Tamandua tetradactyla: one gene and its partner. The protein of the gene in region 2 purifies or fractionates together with the protein of the main gene of each other region. This does not show direct contact. Links are inferred from orthologs where the notes say so. Each region holds a gene or a part of one and is shown on either strand. Other genes may lie near its edges.

Evidence for each region.
Region 1: the proteins of SQSTM1 (region 2) and IRF3 purify together in Homo sapiens (affinity purification with western blotting; 4 studies listed by BioGRID). This does not show direct contact. The link is inferred for Tamandua tetradactyla from reciprocal best matches to the Homo sapiens genes SQSTM1 and IRF3.

What each region holds. Positions count from the first base shown.
Region 1 is NC_135342.1:11,483,836-11,494,035, forward strand, and holds the start of IRF3 (interferon regulatory factor 3), read left to right. Parts: upstream 1-5,663; 5' UTR 5,664-6,079; coding exon of another isoform or gene 6,080-6,171; exon of another isoform or gene 6,172-6,188; intron 6,189-6,263; coding exon of another isoform or gene 6,264-6,350; intron 6,351-7,071; coding exon of another isoform or gene 7,072-7,214; intron 7,215-7,428; coding exon of another isoform or gene 7,429-7,543; exon of another isoform or gene 7,544-7,604; intron 7,605-7,921; coding exon of another isoform or gene 7,922-7,967; exon of another isoform or gene 7,968-8,238; intron 8,239-8,275; exon of another isoform or gene 8,276-8,380; 5' UTR 8,381-8,495; intron 8,496-9,206; 5' UTR 9,207-9,214; coding exon 9,215-9,379; intron 9,380-9,992; coding exon 9,993-10,164; intron 10,165-10,200. Other genes in the region: BCL2L12 (bcl-2-like protein 12), read right to left, coding at 3,486-3,536, 5,008-5,289, 6,080-6,171, 6,264-6,350, 7,072-7,214, 7,429-7,543, 7,922-7,967.
Region 2 is NC_135346.1:1,371,212-1,381,187, forward strand, and holds the start of SQSTM1 (sequestosome-1), read right to left. Parts: upstream 3,892-9,976; 5' UTR 3,869-3,891; coding exon 3,628-3,868; intron 2,525-3,627; coding exon 2,429-2,524; intron 2,028-2,428; coding exon 1,798-2,027; intron 1,730-1,797; coding exon 1,558-1,729; intron 992-1,557; coding exon 902-991; intron 2-901; coding exon 1-1. UniProt on the Homo sapiens protein: Molecular adapter required for selective macroautophagy (aggrephagy) by acting as a bridge between polyubiquitinated proteins and autophagosomes.

The sequences.
Region 1 (10,200 bases), on a different chromosome or scaffold from region 2:
TAAGGTAAATCAGAATACAGGGTAAAGGGTGATATGGTCTGTATCTTAGAACGTCAACTTCTGTGTGAGACCAAAGGAAGAGATGTTTATTTGGTGCAAAATTTACGTTTCTTGGCAGCACACTATTTCCTTTAACCTGTACGGTCAGTTTAGTTGAACATCATAATTACATGGAATCTTGAACAGGGAGTGAGATCTTGTTGGTTTTTCCGGGTTAGTGTGATGCCCCGATACATCCCAGAGTAATTTGGGCAGAGAATATAAGAAGTATTTGAAAAGCCCCCTTGGGGGACTAGAGAGAAAGGAGGAAATATTAAAAAAAATACCAGCCCCTATGAAACATTCCTGCAAAGGAGAAGTTAAGCCTACTTATAGTTATGCCTAAGAATCATCCCCAGAGAACCTCTTTTGCTGCTCGGATGTGGCCTCTCTCTCTAAGCCAAATTGGCAGGGGAACTCACTGCCCTCCCTTTTTCACGGGACCTGACTCCCAGGGAGTGTAACTCTCCCTGGCAATGTGAGACATGACTCCTGGGGATTAGCCTGGGCCCACCGTCCTAGGATTAAGAAAGCCGTCTTGACCGAAATGAAGAAGAGAGAAATGAGATGAAATTAAGTTTCAGACAGATCGTTCCCAAATGAGAAATTTAGAATTGCCATAGTCCAAATACCCCTAAAGAGAGGGATGGAAAGATCAAAGTTGATGGTGGAGTTATACAGAGAAGATAGGATTTAACATATGAGTATGAATGCCGAATCATTAAATTGATATCTATTTTAGCCTGCAGTATTTTAGAGCAGCTAGAAGTAAAAACCTAAAATTGTGAAATTGTAACCCATGTCAAACTCTGAAATCTGTTCCACAACTAATTGTGGTCTTGTGCTTTGAAATTCATCGCTTTTTTTCCGTGTATATGTTATTTTTCACAAAAAAAAAGGAAAGAAGCCGACTGATGATAAAAAAAATATTTATGCCCTCTAGCTTAATATTGCTAGTTGCTCCCATATCTGGAACAACTAGGAGGAAAAATATGAGATCGTATGGTAGCACATGACAAACTCTGGGCTCTGTCCTATAACTACTTGTTGAAGAGTGCTTTCAAAACTATTGCTTTTTTATTTCTTTGCTTTGTGTATATGTTATACTATACAATAAAAAAAAGTAAAAAAAAAACATAAAAAAATTAAGTTTCAGTGGCTGAGAGATTTCAAATACAGTCAAATTATTCTCATGCATTACATAGATATCCCTTTTTAGTTCTTAGTGATTCAGAATAGCTAGAAGGTAATACCAGAAACTGTTGGACTGCATTCCAGTAGCACTGATTCTTAAAGACAGTTATATAACTATATAGCTTTTACAGTGTGACCGTGTGATTGTGAAAACCTTGTGGCCGACGCTGTCTTTATCCAGTATATGGACCGAGGAGTGAAAAAAATGACCAAAAATAAATAATATGGGTGGGGAATAAGGGACATGGGATATTTTGGGTATTCTTTTTCATTTTTAATTCTTGTACGTACTTTTTTTTTTTTTGGAGTAACTAAAATGTTAAAAAATTGATTGTGGTGATGAGTACACAAGTATATGATGATACTCTGAACCACTGATCGTAGACTTTGGATGATTATAGGGTATGTGAATGTATCTCAATAAAATTGCATTAAAAACAAACACACAGCCATGCATGCTTCCGTAGTGGAGGAGGCCAGGAGCCTGAAATCAAGGTGTTGGCAGGTCTAAGCCTCTTCCCAGCATCTGATGGTCATCAGTGACCTCTGGTGGCCCCTGGCTTGTGGCTGCCTCTCTTGTCTCTGCTTCCATCTTCACATGGGTGACTTCCCTGTCCCTTTGCTCCCAATAAGGACATGAGTCATATGGGGATAGGGCCCATTTTCATTCAGTGTGACCTCATCTGGACTTAATGACACCTGTAGAGACATTTTCAAATAAGAACATGTTCACAGGTATCAGGAATCAGAATTTCAACATTATCTTTTTAGGGGTTGTTCTAGTTTGCTAGCTGCCAGAATGCGATATACCAGAAACAGAATGGCTTTTAAAAAGGAGAATTTAATAAATTGCTAGTTTGCAGTTCTAAGGTCAAGAAAATGTCCAATTAAAACAAGTCTATAGAAATGTCCAATCAAAGACATCCAGAGAAGGATACCTTGGTTCAAGAAGGCCGATGAAGTTCAGGGTTTCTTTCTCAAGTGAGAAGGCACATGGCGAACACAGTCAGGGTTCCTCTCTCATCTGGAAGGGCACATGGCAAACACAGGGTCGTCTGCTAGCTTTCTCTCCTGGCTTCCTGTTTCATGAAGCTCCCTGGGAGGCATGTTCCTTCTTCATCTCCAAAGGTCGCTGGTGATGAGCTCTCGTGGCTATGTTGTTCTGCTCTGCTTTCTCTGAATCTCCCATTCTCCAAAATGTTCCCTCTTTTACAGGACTCCAGAAACTAATCAAGACCAACCCGAATGGGTGGAGACATGTCTTCATCTAATCCAGCTTAACAATTACTCTTGATTAAATCACACCATCCAGGGAGATGATCTGATTGCAGTTTCAAACATACAGTATTGAATAGGGATTATTCTACCTTTATGAAATGGGATTTTGATTAAAACATGGCTTTTCTAGGGGGCATACATCCTTTCAAACCAGCACAGGGGGAGACCATTCGATGCATGACACCCTTCAAAATGTCAATCATTGTCATGACTACTTCAAAATCAAGGTCATCAGACACACACTGGGTCTTTCTGATTAATGCACTCATGAAGCACACCTATTATTACAACATCAATTTTTACGGTAATAGTGATAACTTTTTCTGTACCATTGGTTTCCTTTGTAACCCTGTGCATTTCATTTCCTGCCTTTAGAAGTGTTACTCTGTGAAGGGATCAATAGCCCTAAAAAGGTGTGAAACCCCAAAAAGGTTCAGAAGGAGCAACAGGAAGAGAGGAGAAAAACGGGGAAAGGAAGGTACCCTGAAAACTCCCTGAAGAAAGTTGTTGATCTTCTTCCAGGACTAGCTGGAAAAACCCCAACACTATCTCTACTGGTTTAGCTGGGATAAACATATGGTACCAACAGGGAACAAAATGCAATGAGCTGGAATCATCTTTACAGATATCAAGAATGCTGTGTGTCCAGGTGACAACTCTTGTAGCTGCTGAGAAGAAATTTTTCTCCAAGGAAGGATTTGGTTCTTTCCTCAATTAATAAACCACAGTGATACTTGAGCCTAACTTCTTGGGGAAGGAGACACTTTAGTTCTCAAGTGAAAGAATAAACACTTAAAAAAATTTTTAATATAAAAAGTTTAGAAACATATATATATATTTTTTGGCAAAAATAGAAAAGGCGGCCCTCCCAGCCCCCATCCCCCCAGTCCTGAGTGCAGCGGGGACTCCTGGCACAGCACCTGAGAAGGGCGGGGACGTGAGGTCGAGTTCTGTAGAAGCTTCTGAGGATGATCTCAGTCCAGGGGTAAGTTCAAGTCCACAGGGGAGATGGCCAGGAGACCTTCCTGGAGGGGGAAAGAGCCCAGTGATCAGGGAAGGTGACCTCAGCACAGCGGTATCCACCCTGGCCCGGTGAGGTCAGAGACAGGGGATAGCAACGAACAAGTGGGGAAGGGGACATAGACCCGTGGGGGGGGGTGGGGGGGGACGGAGACCCAGAGGTCTGGGGTTTTAATGATGAAGTTTCCCTCAGTTGTAAGATGAGGGTAACAGAACCCCATAAAGTTGTCATGCAGATTAACTGGATGGCTCAGCTACTATCCTAAGTACCTGCCCCCCAACCGCCAATGCTCACCCCAGCTTACCCATTATCCTTATTCAGAAAAATTTTTTTATAAATAAATGCATTTTCGCTGAGTCCCAGACACTTATGTCCACTGTCTCCTAAACATCTCGCTTAGGTGGTCTAAAGGGCGCCCGAAGGCTAGGTGGACACCTCCAACCTCCCACCAGGGCTCCCCACCTCCTTGACCCCCCCTCTCCGAGTCCATTCCCCACGCGGCCACCAGAGGGCGCCGGTTCCCACAGTCAGCAACCCACGTCCCTGAGCCCTCCCGAGGCCCGCTCCTTGCCGAGGCCCACTAGGCTCTGCAGGATCTGGACACTCCTCACCCGCCCCCCGCCCAAATCCCCCCGCCCCCTGCCTCGCTCATCCTGCTCCAGCCACACTCGCCCGCTGCTGCCCGTTTGCGCGATGATGGCTCCATTTCATGAGCCCCGCACGGCCTCCTCTCACTGCTCCCACTGTGATTTACGGGGCGGGTCCGCGAAGGAAACCGTGAGCACTGGGCAGGCGGCAGACGGGCTCGGGGACAAGACTGTTGCTAAAGGCTGCCAAGGTCGCAAGGCCAGAACAATGGGCCCTAATCCAGCCCTTAGAGGGCGCTGGCAGCGGGCAGACAAGGGAGAAAATCTTGATCCTAAGTAGCTGCTGCAAACATGCAAAACAAGTGAGCTCTACACGAGCGTCTGTTAGAAGGTGTGAATGCGGTGGGATGAAGGAAAGCAGGAGAAGGAAGGGAGAGGGTGGAAGGGCAGGGAGATGGCTGAGAATCCCAGTGGAGGTGAGGGGGGCCTCCCTGAGTAAATTAGCAAAGAGGGGAGGCAGAGGAATAGCCGGGAAGGGCACTCGGACAGCCACAGGGGGACAGCCAGGCACCAAATGTCCCCGCGGAGCCAGCACCCTCCAAGTATCCCATCCTAATCCAACCACTCCCCCCACTTTACAGACGTGTAGAGGCGCCAGGAGGGACAGTGGTTAGTTTCGGGGCTCACGGGGGTCATCGGCATGGTAGAACCATTTAAGACAGGAAGAGCCTCTGCACCGATCCCCTGTGCCTGGTGCACAAGAGGAACGGAGGGCTTCAATGGGGGGGGGCACTTGCCAGTTGGAAGGGGAGCCTGAGAAGCCGCCCCCCCCCACACACACAGCTCAGTCGAGTGCTGCGAGGCCCGGAAGGCGCTGCGACGGCTCACCCAGCCCCCGTGGGCCTGGATCCAGGGCGCAAAGCTGTGCACGTGCTCCACGCTGAGTCCCGCCAGGGTGCCCCCCAGGTGGGCCACGCGCCGGCTCAGCTCCAGGGCCAGGGCCAGGCGCGCCAGGGGCTCCGGGGAGGGCGGAGGGGGTCCGGGGCACGGCTGCGAGGCATGTGCGGGGCCCGGGCCGCTCCCGCGGCTGGAAAAGAGCTCCACGAGGCGCGCGAAAGAGGCGGCGGAGAGGCGGGCCAGTTTGCGGCGCAGGGCGGGGTCCGAGGCCAGCTGTGGGGTGGGGACAGAAGGGGCAGAGCCCACCTCAGCCACGCCCCCACGCGGGGGCCTGAGGAGACCTAGAAATTGACTCTAAGCCCCGCCCCCACCTATAACAGCAACTCATTATAAGGCACGTTCTAGGGGCTCAGAGAAATTAGTTCCAGGGGCGGGGTCTAGAAACAGACGCTAAGCCATGCCTTAGGTTTCGACAGCCAATCAGGACCAACCTCTACAGCAGCGGAGTTCTAGACTGTTTATCTCTCAGCCACGCCCCCTTAGTCCTGCCGAGCCAATCAGAGCCCCGGAACCCTAACTAAGGCCTATAAGAACCTGGGCCTCTGCCATTCTATTGTCGTAAAGCCATGTATTCTGCCCAAGCTCTGGAGTTATCAGATTCGAGAGCTCGGCCGCAAGGCATGCCCCCTCCAGCAGTCCGTTCCACTCTAAGCCATGACCTCGCTGAAGTCAATCCGAGCCTCAGATTTTAAACAGTCTCGCTTCCCCCCACCTAAGGATACCTCCTCTCACATATCCAATTTAGCCCAATTTCCTGCCTAGATCTTGCCTCTGACGGCCACGCCCTTCACATACAGGTCACGCCCCTCTAAGCCAATGACAGCCAGTAGCCTAAAGTACTCCCCTGGCCATACTTCCTGTCACTCAACTCTTTCTCTAAGGTTTGTCCCACCCACTCCCCTTCTGACCAGCCAATGAAAATGCAGATCTAGCTTCTCGTCCCAATGCCTTGCCAACCGCCAATTCCCATCCTCCTTGAGAAACGGAAGAGATGGACCATCACCTTCTCGTTGATGACTTCAGCCTCCTCCTCCAGCAAGGCCACCAGCCTCCGCAGCAGGGCTTCTTTCTCCGTGAGTGGGGGACCCTGTAACTCTGGAGGCAAAAGAATTCTGCTGGGGGCGAACTGTGGCTACCCTGCTACCTCCCGACCTCCCGACCTCCCGCGCGGTGCCTCTGCACCTCACCTGGGCTAGGTGGGGATCTAAGTTGCTCTTGGACCAGCTGTTCCAACCGCTGGGCCACCAGGGCATAGAAGTCTGGAGTAGCCGGGCCTGGGGTGAAAGGAATCAGTGACTTCTACATTCTTTCCTTCTCTCAACCATGGGGCAATGATTTCCATTTTATAATGGGGGGGGGGGGACACCAAAGTACAGTGAACAAGCTTGAAAAGACCCCCACACCCTGGTTCTTTCTACTTCATGCCCCCAATCTGGACTTAGAATGTGAGGGCTAAACGGAACCTTGGAGATGTTCCCATCCAAGGTAGAAAAACTAATAGTGTTCTTTCTGCTCTTTCTGCCCTGGGTCTGGCCCACTTCGTGCATCACCCAGTGATCTCAGTGCTTATCTTCTCATTACTAGTCTTCCCAGACTCACATGAGAGGAAACCTGTTCCATTCTTGCTTAAGTCTAAACTAGTCTCCTAGTTTTGCCTTTGGAGAGTGGAGGTACAAGGAAGGGAAAGGATTTTTGGTTGAGCTTCCAACCCCAAAACCTGAGTGGCATGACTGAAAATCATTTCTCCTTCCCTACTGGGGGGCACTTGTGACTAGAAAAGTCTGGGGAGAGGGAGGCATGGATGGAAGGAGAGAGATGACAAAGAGAGAGGAACCAACAGGCCTCTCACAGCCAGCCCAAATAGAGATTTCCTGGGGCAGGGCAGGATGGTGAGGCTTACTGAGGTCTTGAACTAGTTCCTGATCTCATCTGTGCTTCAGGAATCAAGGCTCTTGGCCCTGCTGGTTTCACAGGTGATCTGGGGAAATCTCTTACCAGGCCCTGAACTGTAGCAGGGGCGGAGGGGCAGGGAGCAAGGCCGAGGGGAGTCAGGGGGAACGTCTCCTCGCCCTAGGGGGCAGGGAAGGCATCGGCGAAGGCGGCTCAGGAAGTCGGCTGGCTGCTCCTGGGTGGGACTCCTGGAGAGGAGAACCTCAGAGAGTGACCCCAGAGGCCTCCTGCAAGCAGTCCCTTCTTCCTCCCACTGAGGGCCTCTCCCTGTAGCCCCAGGGACGGGGGAAAAGAACCAGGTATGAAGGGAAGGAAGGAGACAGAGTGAGACCAGAAGCAAGAGTCAGAGAGGGACCCACCCCAAAGATGGACCCTTGAGGGGAGGAGGACAACCCTTCTTACCTGGGTGCAGCTGTAACGGGGGACCCAGACACCTCGCCCTGCTTAAGGAAGGCGGCTAGGACCCTCAGTGTGTCATCCCGGAGCCCCAACTCCTCTGAGCCTGCCATAGGGGCACCTGTGAGATGGGAAGCCAGGCACTGGAACGCAGGGTCCACATGGAAGAGGAGGCTTGGCACCTGAAGGAGGAAGGGTCAGAGGCGCGTCCTCCTGGGTCCCCATGGGAGGAGTGGGGACTGCGGTTCCTGGATCCTGGGAGAGGAAGGGGCTGGGGGCTGAACTTCTGGGTCTAAGGGAGGAGGAGACTGGGGAGACTGGACTCCTGAATTTGAGAGGGAGAAGGGGGCTGAGGAGGCACTGAGACAAGACTCCTGGATCCTGGAAGAGGAGGGTACCGGGGGCCTGGACTCCTGAGTCTCAGGGAGGAGGGGGCTGGGGGCTCCGACCCCTGGATTCCAAGCCAAGCTACCGAAGCCCAGCCAGGACGGAGAATTACCAATCCCTGAGGGCTTCGTGCCAAATTCCCCTCGGTCTGCGCTCATTTGCTGCGTAGCCTGCTGGGAGGTGTAGTTCCGTATCTGGCTGAGGCTGGAGTTTGGGGGCCTGGGACGTTTGGGTGTCGTTGAGGCGGGGATGCGCTGCCCGCTTCGGGGTCGCGACCCCCTCCTCTTCCCTGCTCGCCCTGGTGCTCGCCAGGGCTCGGCTCACCTGATCCCCGACCCCGCCTCCGCCGCCTCCCGCGCTGCAACTTCGGCAAACTTTCGAAGTTACCGTTCCCACGCCTGCGCACTGGGCGGGGTGGGCGGCACCAAGACAGGGCAGGGCCAGAGCGCCGGCTGCCCTCTTATTTGCATATGCATTCCCAGCATGCCTTGCCTGTGACCGGATTGCCTAAAAAGATCCGGAGGGTGTGCATATCATTATACCCAAATTATATAAAGGGTTTTATCCCAAGACGTCGGTAGCAAAGAAAGTCCCACGGCTCTGACGTCCGGCTGGAGGGAAGTCAGGTGCGCCGCTTGGAGTTGGAGAGCTATCCCGGAGCCCAGAAGACAGAGGCGAGTCCCGAGGTGAGTAACGCGGAAGAGCTGGGGAGGGTGTTGGGGAGGTCGCAGACTGAGGAGGCGCTAGAGGAAGGGGCGATGGGGAGAGTGTGCACTCTGGGGACAAGAAAGGGCCACGCTGGGAAACTGCGGGAGAAGCTGCAGGAGGCAGTGGCCTAGGTCATTAGGTGCAGGAGGAAGGGACAGGGACCCACGGCGCGGGACGGAGGGGAGGACAAGTTTCCTCTGCAAAAAGAGATAGTCTAGAAAGTGGGGGCGTGCCCTATCGCGCGGGGAGTATTGTGGCTGGAGATCTCTGGAAGCCGGGAGTTGAGGCTGGGATCTTCCGGGGGGAACTCGAGGGCGATCCGCGGAGGTAGCGTCTATACGGAAATAATCAGGGAGGGCTCCGGTGTGGAAGTGGGGGTGTGTGTGCATTGGGTCCTGGGGGAGGGTGGGGCGCAATGGGAGAAGCGTCTACACTGGAGAAGTTCAGGTGCACCGCAGAAATTGGGGACGGTTGGAGATGGGAGGGAGTCCTTGCTTAGTTGGGGGGCTACTTTGGGACGGGGGGAGAAGTTGCTCTCCGGCGGGCCAGCTAAGAGGGAGTCGACGCGGCTGAGGGATCTGCCCCCGAGGTACCGGGAAAGGGAGGTCTGGGTGCGGGGTGCCCGGGCCGCGTGGGCAGGTGGAGGCCTCTGGCGCCCAGGCACTGCCCGCCCCCACCCCCGCGCGCAGGCCGGACGATGAGCGCCCAAAAGCCGCGGATCCTGCCCTGGCTGCGTGTGCAGCTCGACCTGGGGCAGCTGGAGGGCGTGGCCTGGGTGGACGCGAGCCGCACGCGCTTCCGCATCCCCTGGAAGCACGGCCTGCGGCAGGATGCGCAGCAGGAGGACTTCCGCATCTTCCAGGTGCGTGGGCCCGGGCCCGGATAGCTCTGGCGGGTCCCGGCGGGCGGCCGATTCTGGGATGAAGAGGGGAGGCGGGCGTAGCCTTCCGGGCCGGGGTCTGGCGACGGGTATTGAACTTCCGGGGCTGGTGCGCCGGGCGGAGGTGGGCGGGCGTCTGGCTGGGTGGGAATGCCCTTTTCCCACCCCCCACCCCCACCGTGGAACCAGGAAGGGGGGGCTCCGTAGGCGGAGGAAATGCAATCTTGGGACGGGTCCAGGAGTCACGGGGACGAGGTTCAGAGTCCCTAATTGGGACCTCTTACCAGCAGACTAGGGCACCCGCGGGGCGGCTTGGGGAGTTGGAGGGCAGGAGGCGGGTTATTTCGGGGATGTCCTGGGGCCGCTGGTAGCGGGGCGCGGCTCCGGATAGGACCCGGAGGGCAGAGGGAGAGAGCCCAGGTCTTTGGGTGCTCAGGTGGGGACCTGAGGCACGGAGAACCCGGGAATTGAAGGGTGGGGACCTTGCTGAGTCAGGAAGCGCCAGTAAGAGGGCAGTGTTAGGATACCAAGCGGCTGAGTTAGCACCCCGGAGGGCGGGGTCTAAGTCACTCCCCCGTTCCCACCGTCCCTCCAGGCCTGGGCTGAAGCTAGCGGCGCTTACACTCCTGGGAAAGATAAGGAAGACCGGCCCACCTGGAAGAGGAACTTCCGGTCGGCTCTGAACCGAAAGGAGGATTTGCGTGTTGTGGAAGACCGGAGCAAGGACCCCCTCGACCCACACAAGATCTATGAGTTTGTCAACGCAGGTGTGTCAGGAGTAGGTCTTTGCGTGGAGGGCCGGG
Region 2 (9,976 bases):
CCTAGAGGCCAAGGAGGAAACGGTGTTTCAGAGAAGGGGCTGCCAAGAGGTCAGGAAGTTGGGGCCTGCAGGCCCCCGAGGCTCGTCGGGTGGGTACCTGCCAGCACTGAGGAGTCCGGATGGTGGGGCATGACGTGCTGACGCCGACACTGGCTTTCACGCTTTGAGGAAATACCCCTCTCCCCAGGCCCCAGCCAGTATGGGGTCTGGCCACCATGCAGCCCCAAGAACCAGAACACAAATCTCTGCTTGTCCAGACCCCCGGGGCTGAACTGCCTGTCCCAAGTCCTGGCCTCAGTGGAACGCTTCCTGCGGCCACAGGGGGTGGGCCTCAGCCTGCGCCTTGTCAGCCAACACCACAGAGGGGACACTCGCTGAGGCACCCCCAGCAAACCCGCTCTGAAATCTGGGGTGCTGCAAACACATGCCAGCAGCAGCCTTTCTCCAGGGTTCCCTCCCACCCCCAGCACAAGGCACAGGCCCAGCGCTTGTGAAACACCAGGGAAGGTCTGGGGACTACAAACAAAAAGGGAGAAAAAGGGTTAGTCACCCACGTCCTTGAGTAAATCTCCAGGCTCACATCGCCTTCCCCAGAGGAGTACACAGGCATGGGTGGCAGCCAACCCCTCCTCCGAGGCCTGGGCACCCTACTTGGCGCTGCTGTCCCAACCCGTGCTGGCTGACTGGAAAGCCCAGGCATCTGTCAGCGAGCTCAGTCTTGAGCTGCCTGTGTTCCTGCACTTGGCAAAGGCTGATGTGGGGCAATAAGTACTCGGGAGTGTCCAGGACACACAAGTTACCCGCTCCTCTGCAGAGATCATCTGAGGTCAGTGTCGCAAAAAAAACCCCACGTTTGTACGGGGTTACCAAAACTCTCAGACAGAGGAGAAAGCCCACTTACCCAACGGGCTGAGTGCAGCCGCCACGCTTTCTCCTACGTTCTTCAGGAAATGGACACTGGCATCTTCTGGTGGGCCAGCAGCTTTGACTTCTAAAAGCAGAAGTGGGAGGCATGTTTAATTCCAACCACATGTCCTGGTGACTCTGATGCCTGCTGCGGTCCTGCCTGCTCCTTCCCAAGGCCCCTGCTGTCCCAGGGGCACCTCTGACTGCAGCCTAGGCCCACAAAGCTCCCCTCCCCCTCCCCCTCCCAGGAGGCCACGTCCTGGACACCTTTCCCCCAGCACAGGCCCAGGACAAGCAGAACCAAAATAATGGCCACAGCCTATGTAGGTCATTCAGAAACCAAGCCGGTACCTTGTCAAAGACACAATGACATTACTACAACCAGGAGGAGACACTACCCTGAAAACAGGACACCAGCTACGTGTAAGCTTCTAACTCTGTGACTATGCGTTAAAGGTGAGCAAGCCTGGCTGAATCTCCTGACAGCTGGCACAAAAGAGGACAGTGGGGCAGGCTACAGGGACCCAGAGGGGTGAAGCGGGAAGGGCTCTCGGGTCTGAGCACTGCATTGCCTCAGTTTCCCCATGAGGAATGGAAATGACACTCCCACTGGGTGGGATTCCCTCCACCTGCAGGCGCCCTGGGCCTCACCTGACTCCGCCGAGGGGCCGGGGGGTGCCTCCCCATCGCGGGGCGGCCGTGGGCTCCAGTTCCCCGGTGGGCCCATCTCCCAGCCCGGCCACCCGAAGTGCCCGTGCTTCAGCTTTCGGAGCCAGCGGCTGTGCGAGAAGCCCTGCCAGAGGGCAGAAGAAGGACGGGGGGGCTGTGGGTCTGTGGCTCCCCCACCCCCATCCCCGCACCACCCCAGGCCCACCGCCAGACTCTGCTCACCTCCAGGAGGTGCCCCAGGGGGCTGGAGAAGGCGAGCTTGCCGTGCTCTGGGTGCAGGCCCTTCTCCTCGCAGCCGGCACACAGGTCGTAGTCGGGGCACACGCTGCACTTGTAGCGGGTCCCCACCACAGGCCCATTGCAGCCGTCACAAATCACGTTGGGGTGCACCAAGCTGCGGGGCGCCTCCTGAGCGCCCGGGGGCCGGTGGTCTCGCCGGCATTCCTTCTTTTCTGTGGGGAGGGGAGGCAGCCAGTGGGGTCAGGTCCTGGGAGTCTGTCCAGGACCCAGCTGCTTTGGGCGGCCGGTGAGCAGCAGCTTCTGGCTCCTCAAACAACCCCCAAGCACCCGAAGCCGCCCCGGCCTTGGTGGCACAAGCCCCCGGAGGGCGGGAGGGGCGCCGAGGCTGACCCCGTGTGCAGCGAGGCGGGGCGCGGCCAATGCCGGGCGGCGCGAGGCCTGGGCACCCGGCGGTGAGCGGGGCAGCGGAGGGGCCCCAGACCCGGCTGCGCTGCACGACGGCCTCCAGACCCCGGGCCCTGCGCGCAGCGCCAGCGCCTCCTCTGCAGCAGGAACACAGCGTCTAAGACCGCCCCTGCCCCCCTGGCCTCGGGGTCGGCAGGCAGCCCCTCACCTTTCAGGTAGATGCGGAAGGTGCCGTCACTCACGCCCGACGTCGCCATCGCCAGCTCCTCGTCGCTCGAAAAGGCCACGAGGTCGCCGTCCTCATCTGGTGTGGGGAAGAGAGGTGAGTGCCCGCGCCTCCTGCGGGGCTGAAACGGGCTGAGGCCGGTGCCAGGGGGCACGTGGGGGACCCCGTCCCGGGGAACCGCAGGGTGGGAGGCAAGACCCGCCGCCACCGTGACGGCGTCGGGAAGGGGGGGCCCCGGGCCGGCCTGCTCCGAGCCTGTGACTGGTGCGCGGTCTCCGGGTTTTATTGTCGGACCCACCCTGCGGCCCAAACCTCGCCGCGCATCCCCATCAGCTGAACCCCGCAAGGACAGGGCAGCGCCAAAACACGGAAACGTCAGAAAGACCCGAACGCGAGTGTTTCAGGGTACAGGTCTGTCCCTTAAGATAATGAAAAGGTCCTAAAATATGTGTGAGCGTGCTGAAACCACCATATTCTGCACGCTCCTGAGCGTCCTGCCCGGACAACAACTACAGCCCACGGAACAATTACAAAGGAAAAAGACACGGGACGGGCCCGGCAGCCCCGCCCTCCCTTTCGGCCCGCCCCCGGCCCCCCCAACCCCCCCCCCCCCAGCTCCCGGCCTGCAGGAGCCGGCCCTGCACTCACAGGCCCTCCCCCGCCCACCCCCCGCCCACCCCCGGCCCTGCGCTCACAGCCCCTCCCCCAGCCCACCCTCTGCCCCGCGCATGCCGGGGGACACCCGGGCGGCTTCGCACGTCTCTCCCGCCTGGCCCAGGTGGGCCCTCCTCCGCGCCGGCTCGGCCTGCGGTCTCCGGACATCAGCTGACCCCACCCCGCCCCCGGCGCTGGCAGCGGGAGGCGACAGCCGGCGGACGTCAGCGTAACCCGAGTGTCCGCCGCCCGTCCCGACCCCGCCCCGGGGGCGACCTTGCGGGATCTGCAGTGCCCGGCGGGGGAGGGGAGCCTCACGCCCCCAGGCCGGAGCGCCGCTGGGGGGCCTGGCAGCCCGCACGGACCGGGCCGGGCCTGTGCTCGAACTCCCTGCCCCCGGCGGCCACCCGAGGCCCAGCTGTGGCCGGGCACAGCCATCACCCGCCCCTGCCCGGCTTGGGAAGGGGTGGGGGGAGGGAGGGAGGAGGGAGGAGCGCCCGCCAGCCCCGGACCCCCGCCCCGCTCACCGCGGTAGTGCGCCACGAAGCCCCCAGGCCGCAGCCCCGGGAACAGGGCGGCCACCCGGCGCAGCAGGCGCTCGCAGGGCCCCGCGCCGACCAGGGCGTCGGCTCCCGGCCCGGGCCCGGACTCGGGCTCGGGCTCGGGCTCGGCCTCGGGCTCGCGGCCGAAGCAGAACCTGAAGCGGCGGATCTCGCGCGCCGCCTCCTCGCGGCCCAGCAGGTACGCCTTCACCGTGAGCGTCGCCATGGCCGCGCCGGCACTGCGCCCGGCCCGCCGCCGCCGCCGCCTTTGTAGAGCGGGAGCCCCGCTCTGCCCCGCCCCCTGGGCGGAGCCTCGTCGCCCCGCCCCGCCCCGCCGCCGCACTCGCGAGCCGCCCTGCTGGGGCCCCGGCGCGGGCCGCCCTCCGCGGACCCCGGCCCCGCGGCCTCCTCCCGACGGCCCCTCCCTCGCCGCCCGCAGGTGCAGGGGTCCCCTAAGGCGGCCCCCGCAGGGCGGGTTCCTGTGCTTATACCGCGGCAGCCTGGGCTGAGGCGCTGGTCCCGGGGGAAGGGGCGGGACCCCAGGCCCCTCCCCAGACCTGGGCCTGGTCGTGACGCAGCACTACAGCCTCGCGGCTGCCCCGGAGCAGAGTCGGGGGGCCGAGGCCCCTCGGTGGGTCCGGCCGCCGGGAGCAGGCAGCCCCCGTTCTAACGCGCTGAGGGTCCCCAGGCCCCTGGAGCAGCGGACTCCCCCGGCACTGCACAGCATCGCCCACGCCTGAGCCCTAACGGGGTGGACGGTCACGCCCGACTCAGGCCTGAGCTCCACAGCCCCCCAGTTTAGTTGAGAGGTGCTGGAAGAGCACAGGGGGGCGCCAGCCCTGCAGGATGTCAGGTGTCACCGAGTGGTCATCGCGGCCCAGATGCCCACCTGTCAGGGTTCAGTTCAGTGGGCGCCAGCCAGCTGTGGCTTTAGGTTCCTAGGTTCTTGGCCAGGGCTCGAGAAAGGATTCAAGGGCACAGCACAGCCGGGAAGCAGACAGAGTTTATTCAGTATTCTCCGTGGCGGCTCCTGTACTGGGCACACAAAAGTAGTAGCGAGAGGACGCTCTCCCAAAAGGAAAGAGATGAGAGGAGCAGGACACGGTGGGAAGGCTTGCTTTTTATTATAATTTTCAACTTTTTCTTATGAAATATATATACACAAAGCAATAAATCTCCAAGTACATTTTAACAAGTAGTTATAAAACAGAGTTTAAAGTTTTGTGTGGGTCATAGTTCCACAATTTTTCATTTTTCCTTCTAGCTGCTCCAAGACCCTGGAGGCCAACAGAAATATCGGTATATAGTGACTCAGCAATTATACTCTGAATGTCATTCAACATTTGCTAAATCCTGTCTTCTCTGTTCTAACTCCTCCTCCTCCTTTAATCCTTCTCCCAATCTTTAGGGGTATTTGGGATTCTAACTTTTTCATGTTGGAAGGGGCTGTGGATAATATGGGTTGGGGATGGAACCAGCTGATGTCTGGAGAGGCTGGGCCCTCTGGGTTTCAGGACTTCTCTGGCCTAGGAACCATCTGGAGGCTGTAAGTTTCTGGAAAGTTCCCCTAGTGCACGGAACCTTTGTAGGGTCTCAGATAGAGCCCTGGGTGTTCTTTAGGGTTGATAGGATGGTGTTGGTGTTGATAATAGCAATATCAAGGGTATGCTTTTATTGTTTTTTGTTCCTTTTGTAACTTTTATTAATTATTTTACTACCTTCCCCTTCTCCCTTCCTTGTGACACTTGGCCCTGGATGACTCGCTCAGGTGGGGTCAGTTTGCCGCAGGTGCCGTTTATTGCTTCCCTCCTTGTGGCCTGCCTGCTTTTTTGGAATTTGCTCTCTGCTGATCCCCCTGCCTCAGTTGGGAGCCAGGGGCCTGTGGGCCTTAGGGCAGGGGCGTCAGAACAGCTGGGAGACAGTAACCAAGAAACACTGTACTTGAGGGCAGCGACCTGGGGCAGCCCAGCCCAGGGCCTGTGGGGTGCCTTGGAAAGACCTGGCGGGAAGGGTATGTGGCCCTCTGGAGTGCCCAGGTGGGGGGCCTGTGGGAGGGTCAGATCTGTGGTCAGATTCGTGGTGTTTCAGAGGGGGCTTAGTGGGAGACCCAGAGACCAAGGGAGATTGGGGGGCAGGGCGCGTTGTCAGGTGCAGTGATTGCCTGTGGGAAGGCAGCAGGCACTGACCCCGGGTGGGGCTGACCCTGCCCAGGGACCTCCAAAGAGGAGCTCCCTGCCCTGCCCGGGGCAGCCCTGCAGAAAGGCGGGGGGGGGGGGGGGGGGGGGGGGGGGGGGCGGGGGGGGGGGGGGGAATGTTGGCGAGCGGGGAGGGAGCGCGTGGGTGGGGTGCCCGGTCCGGGCGCACAAGGAAAGCCGGTCTGGGGTGGGAGTCGGGACCCGGAACGAGCAGCGGGACCCCGAGGTCGCCCCCTGGCACGCTCCCGCCTTCTCATTTGGAACCGTGGTGAGGGTTCCCCCAGAAGCCCCGAGCGCGGCCCTTGGCCTCCCCTCCCCCAAGGCGGCGGGGGCGCGGGAACCCGCGCAGCACCGGAACCCCCTGGCGGGGCCCTCCCCGCCCCCGGGCTGCGTGGTCAGGTGGCCGGGCCCGTCCGGCCGGCCGTGAGTCAGCGCCGCGTGACCCGCGCCGTCAGCAGGGGATCCCCGGCCCCTCTCGGTGGCATCTCACCTGCGGCCGGGTGGGCTGCCTGCGGGCCCCAGGCAGGGTGGCACAGCTGGCAGCCAGGTCCCTCCCCGCTGCCCCCTGTGTACCCTTCGCCGGCGGCCCTTCCCCCCGGTGCCCGCTCAGCCCACCCGCCCTCCGGGACGACCTCGCGGGCGCTGACCCCGGCCCGCCTGGCGCCTCGGCGCGAACAAGCGGCCCCGCCGTGCCCCGCCTGGAGATGGGCGGCAGTGCGGTGGTTGGGGCGCCCCCCGCGCGCTGGCGCGGTCCGGGTCCGGGGCGGGCACCCTGAGCAAGCTGCGCCCGGCAGGCCTTAAAGGGGACTGAGGAGCACAGGGGCGGCCCCTCCCCACGCAGCCCACCGCCCCAGAGATGAGCCTCCCTGGGAGGGGAAGGGGTCCAAGGCGGTTTGGCCGGACCTGTCCCTGCACTGCGTGGGGCCTGCTCAGGGCCAGGGGACCCGCCTGCCAGTCCTCCCCAGGCCCTCACTCCCACGGGCCACAGCCCCTGCCCGGTGCACGTGCCCACTTCTCCCTGCACATGTCCACTCTTTGCGCATGCCCACTCCCTCGCCCGGTGACTTCTTGGTTCTTCCCCGGCCTGGACCCCCCTCCCCACGCCCTGCAAGGCAGCCTCCCCCCTTGTCTGCTCCTCAATGGGACCTTCCCTGACACCCCACCCCAGCCCAAACGCCTCAGGCCCTGGGTGTAACCCCCTTTTAGCCCCTTCCTACAGAGGCCCACAGAGCGTTCTCAGAGGACAGGGGGCAAGGGGTCAGGGAAATGCAAGATGAAGCCCAGGAGCCGCTGCTGAGGTTAGGTGAGGCCTAGGGCCGCTGGGGGGAGAAGCAGGCGCTGCGGGTGGGGTGAGGGCTGTCCCACGCATTCTGGGGTGGGGGAGAGTTTGGGGCCAGGTGGAGGGAGTAGCTGCTTGAAGAGGTGCGGCTGGGTCCGGGCTGCACCCCCGGCGGGCCAGTGTCCTCCCCCCACCTCCCACAGAGCAGTACCCTCCCCCCTCAAACCTCCCCAGTGAGCTGTCTGGCCTTGAGGCTTGACCCATCCAGATCCTCAAAGTCTGGGTGCACGACCACCAGCCCCTGGGCCCTGGCACCCCTTTGACCTCTGGGGTCCTGGAGGAGAAGCCGAGGTCCCCCAGACCTGTGTTCTGGCTGCGGCTGAGGCTAGGGCAGGAGTTCCAGGGCCTTGCACAATTCCCCTCCTTTTTAGGATGGAAATTTTCCTTGGGGGACTACCATAGAGAACAGGGTGGGGTCGGCATGGGACCCAAGCTGGGCCTGAGTCATGTAACCCCCTGGGTCCGAGGTGGACATGAGTGTCAAGCCGGCTCCTGAAGTGCCCTCCAGGGCCACCCCAAGGCAGGCCCTTAGCATCTTCTGGTTGGGGTGGGTGGTTGCCCCAGGCCCGCTCCAGGGTTCCAGATGGCAGTGAGGGCCACACAAGGTGGCCAGACCCAGGGGGTCAGCCTGAGCCTGTCCCCTCTGTCACCCTCAAACCCCCAGCGGCTTCTGTTGACAGAACTTCCCAATAATAAATGATATTAATAGTGTATGGGTATCACCCATGTAGCACCCGTTTTATGCCAAGAAACATCAAAACACTCGACAGATATTAACCACCTACTACTCCCTTGAAGTGGGACCAAGCCATGCTAGTCCTGGCCAAGGACCTGCGAGGAGGGGGCCATGCATCATTTCCAGACCAAACCACATATGTGCCGACATCGGAGCTCCCAGACTTTTCCTTCCTCCACAGGGAAGCCTGCAGCATTTGAGAGAGCAACCACCCAGGCCCCTGACCTTGGGGCTCGTCCCTGTGGACCTTATTCCTGCAAAGGAGAAGCTACGCCTACTAATAACTGTGCTTAAGAGTCACACCCAGGGAGCCTCTTGTTGCTCAGACACGGCCTCTCTTTCTAAACCAACCCGGCAGGTGAACTCACTGCCCTCCTTCCTACGTGGGACGTGACTCCCAGCGGTGTAACTTCCCTGGCAATAATGGACAGAACTCCTGGGATGAGCCAGGACCTGGGACCGTGGCATGGAGAAAGCCTTCTTGACCAATAGGAGGAAGAGAAAAATGAGACAAAGTAAAGTGTCAGTGGCTGAGAGATTTCAAACAGTCAAGAAGTTATCCTGGAGGTTATTCATAGGCATTCTAGGGACGTGCAGTTTTCATTTATGGTGGAATGGAGTGGCTTGGGGAAGTTACCTGAAACTGTTGAGCAGTGTTCCCCTAGCCTTGATTCTTGAAGAGGATCATCTAAAGATACAACTTTTACAATGTGACTGTGGTCTTGGGAAATTCATTTTTCTTGAATCGATTTCATTCCATTCATTTATTCAAGAAAAATCCATTTTTATTGAAAACCCCTTTTCCTGAATCTTGAAGATGATTGTATAACTATAGAGCTTTTACAGTGTGACCATGTAATTGTGAAAGCCTTATGGCCGACACTACCTTTATCCACGGTATAGGCAGATGAGTAAGAAAATAAGAATAAAAAAATAAATAATGGCGGAGATAAAGGATAAAAATTGGGTAGATGGAAATACTAGTGGTCAATGATAGGGAGGGGTAAGGGATATGGGATGTATGAGTCTTTTCCTTTGTCTTTTTATTTCTTTTCTGGAGTGCGTTTTTTCTTTTTGTTTCTTTTTCTGGAGTGATACAGATGTTCCAAAGTGATCATGGTGATGCATACACAACTATGTGATGCTATTGTGAGCCATTGTGTACCTTGGATGGACTGTATGTGTGTCAAGATAGCTCAATGAAAATAGTTTTAAAAGAAGAGAGCAGTCGTTCCCTGCAGCCTGGGTCCTTGGGGATTACAATGAGCAGAGGCCCCAGGCCACCCTTGATGGATATACAATGTTGGAAAATACAGTTTTATTAAACCCGAGGAATTTGGGATTGTCACAGCAGCATACCCTAACCTATACTGACCATTGTCCCCACCTTATCCAGGGAAAGGAGCAAGAAAGAGTTAAGCGACTTGTCCCAGGTCCCAGCTAGTAAGTGGCAGACCCAGGCAGACTGTCTTGACTTCCAGTCTCCCCCACCCTCCTTTGAGACCCTCTCTTAGGCACCCTCGCAGCCCCTTAGTGAACTCCAGCTTTCTCGCAGCATCTGACTTGATCATTTCAAAATACAGACTCCGGCTCAGCCCACCCCAGGCCGCGCTTTGGACTCGGCAGCCCTGTGCTTTCCGCCCAGCTGCGAGGCGGAGGAGCCCGACCCCGGCCAGGTGGGCAGGACCTGCTCGGGCCCCCATCCGGCCCCCTCCCTGCCGCGCTGCGCGGGGGGCAGCCTCGGGGCGCCGAGCCGGGTGAGCCCCCTTACGAGCCCGCGGGCAGGGGATGGGCTGGGGCCGCGGGGCGGGGGCTCCTCCCGGGGCGCCCGCGCTGAGCCGGCCCCGAGGTAGGCGCGTGCCCGAGCACGCGTGGCCGTGGGGAGCGGACGCGGCGGCCCCCAACCCGGGGCGCCGAGCGTCGGTTGCTGGTGAGCGACAGGCCGGCGGGTCCGGCGGCTCCGGGGTGTCCGGTGGGTCGGGGTCTCCGGCTCCTCAGCAGGGCGGCCAACACCGCCCGAGGCCGCGGAGGGAGCACGGAGGGCCGTGGCGGCGCGGACGGGCG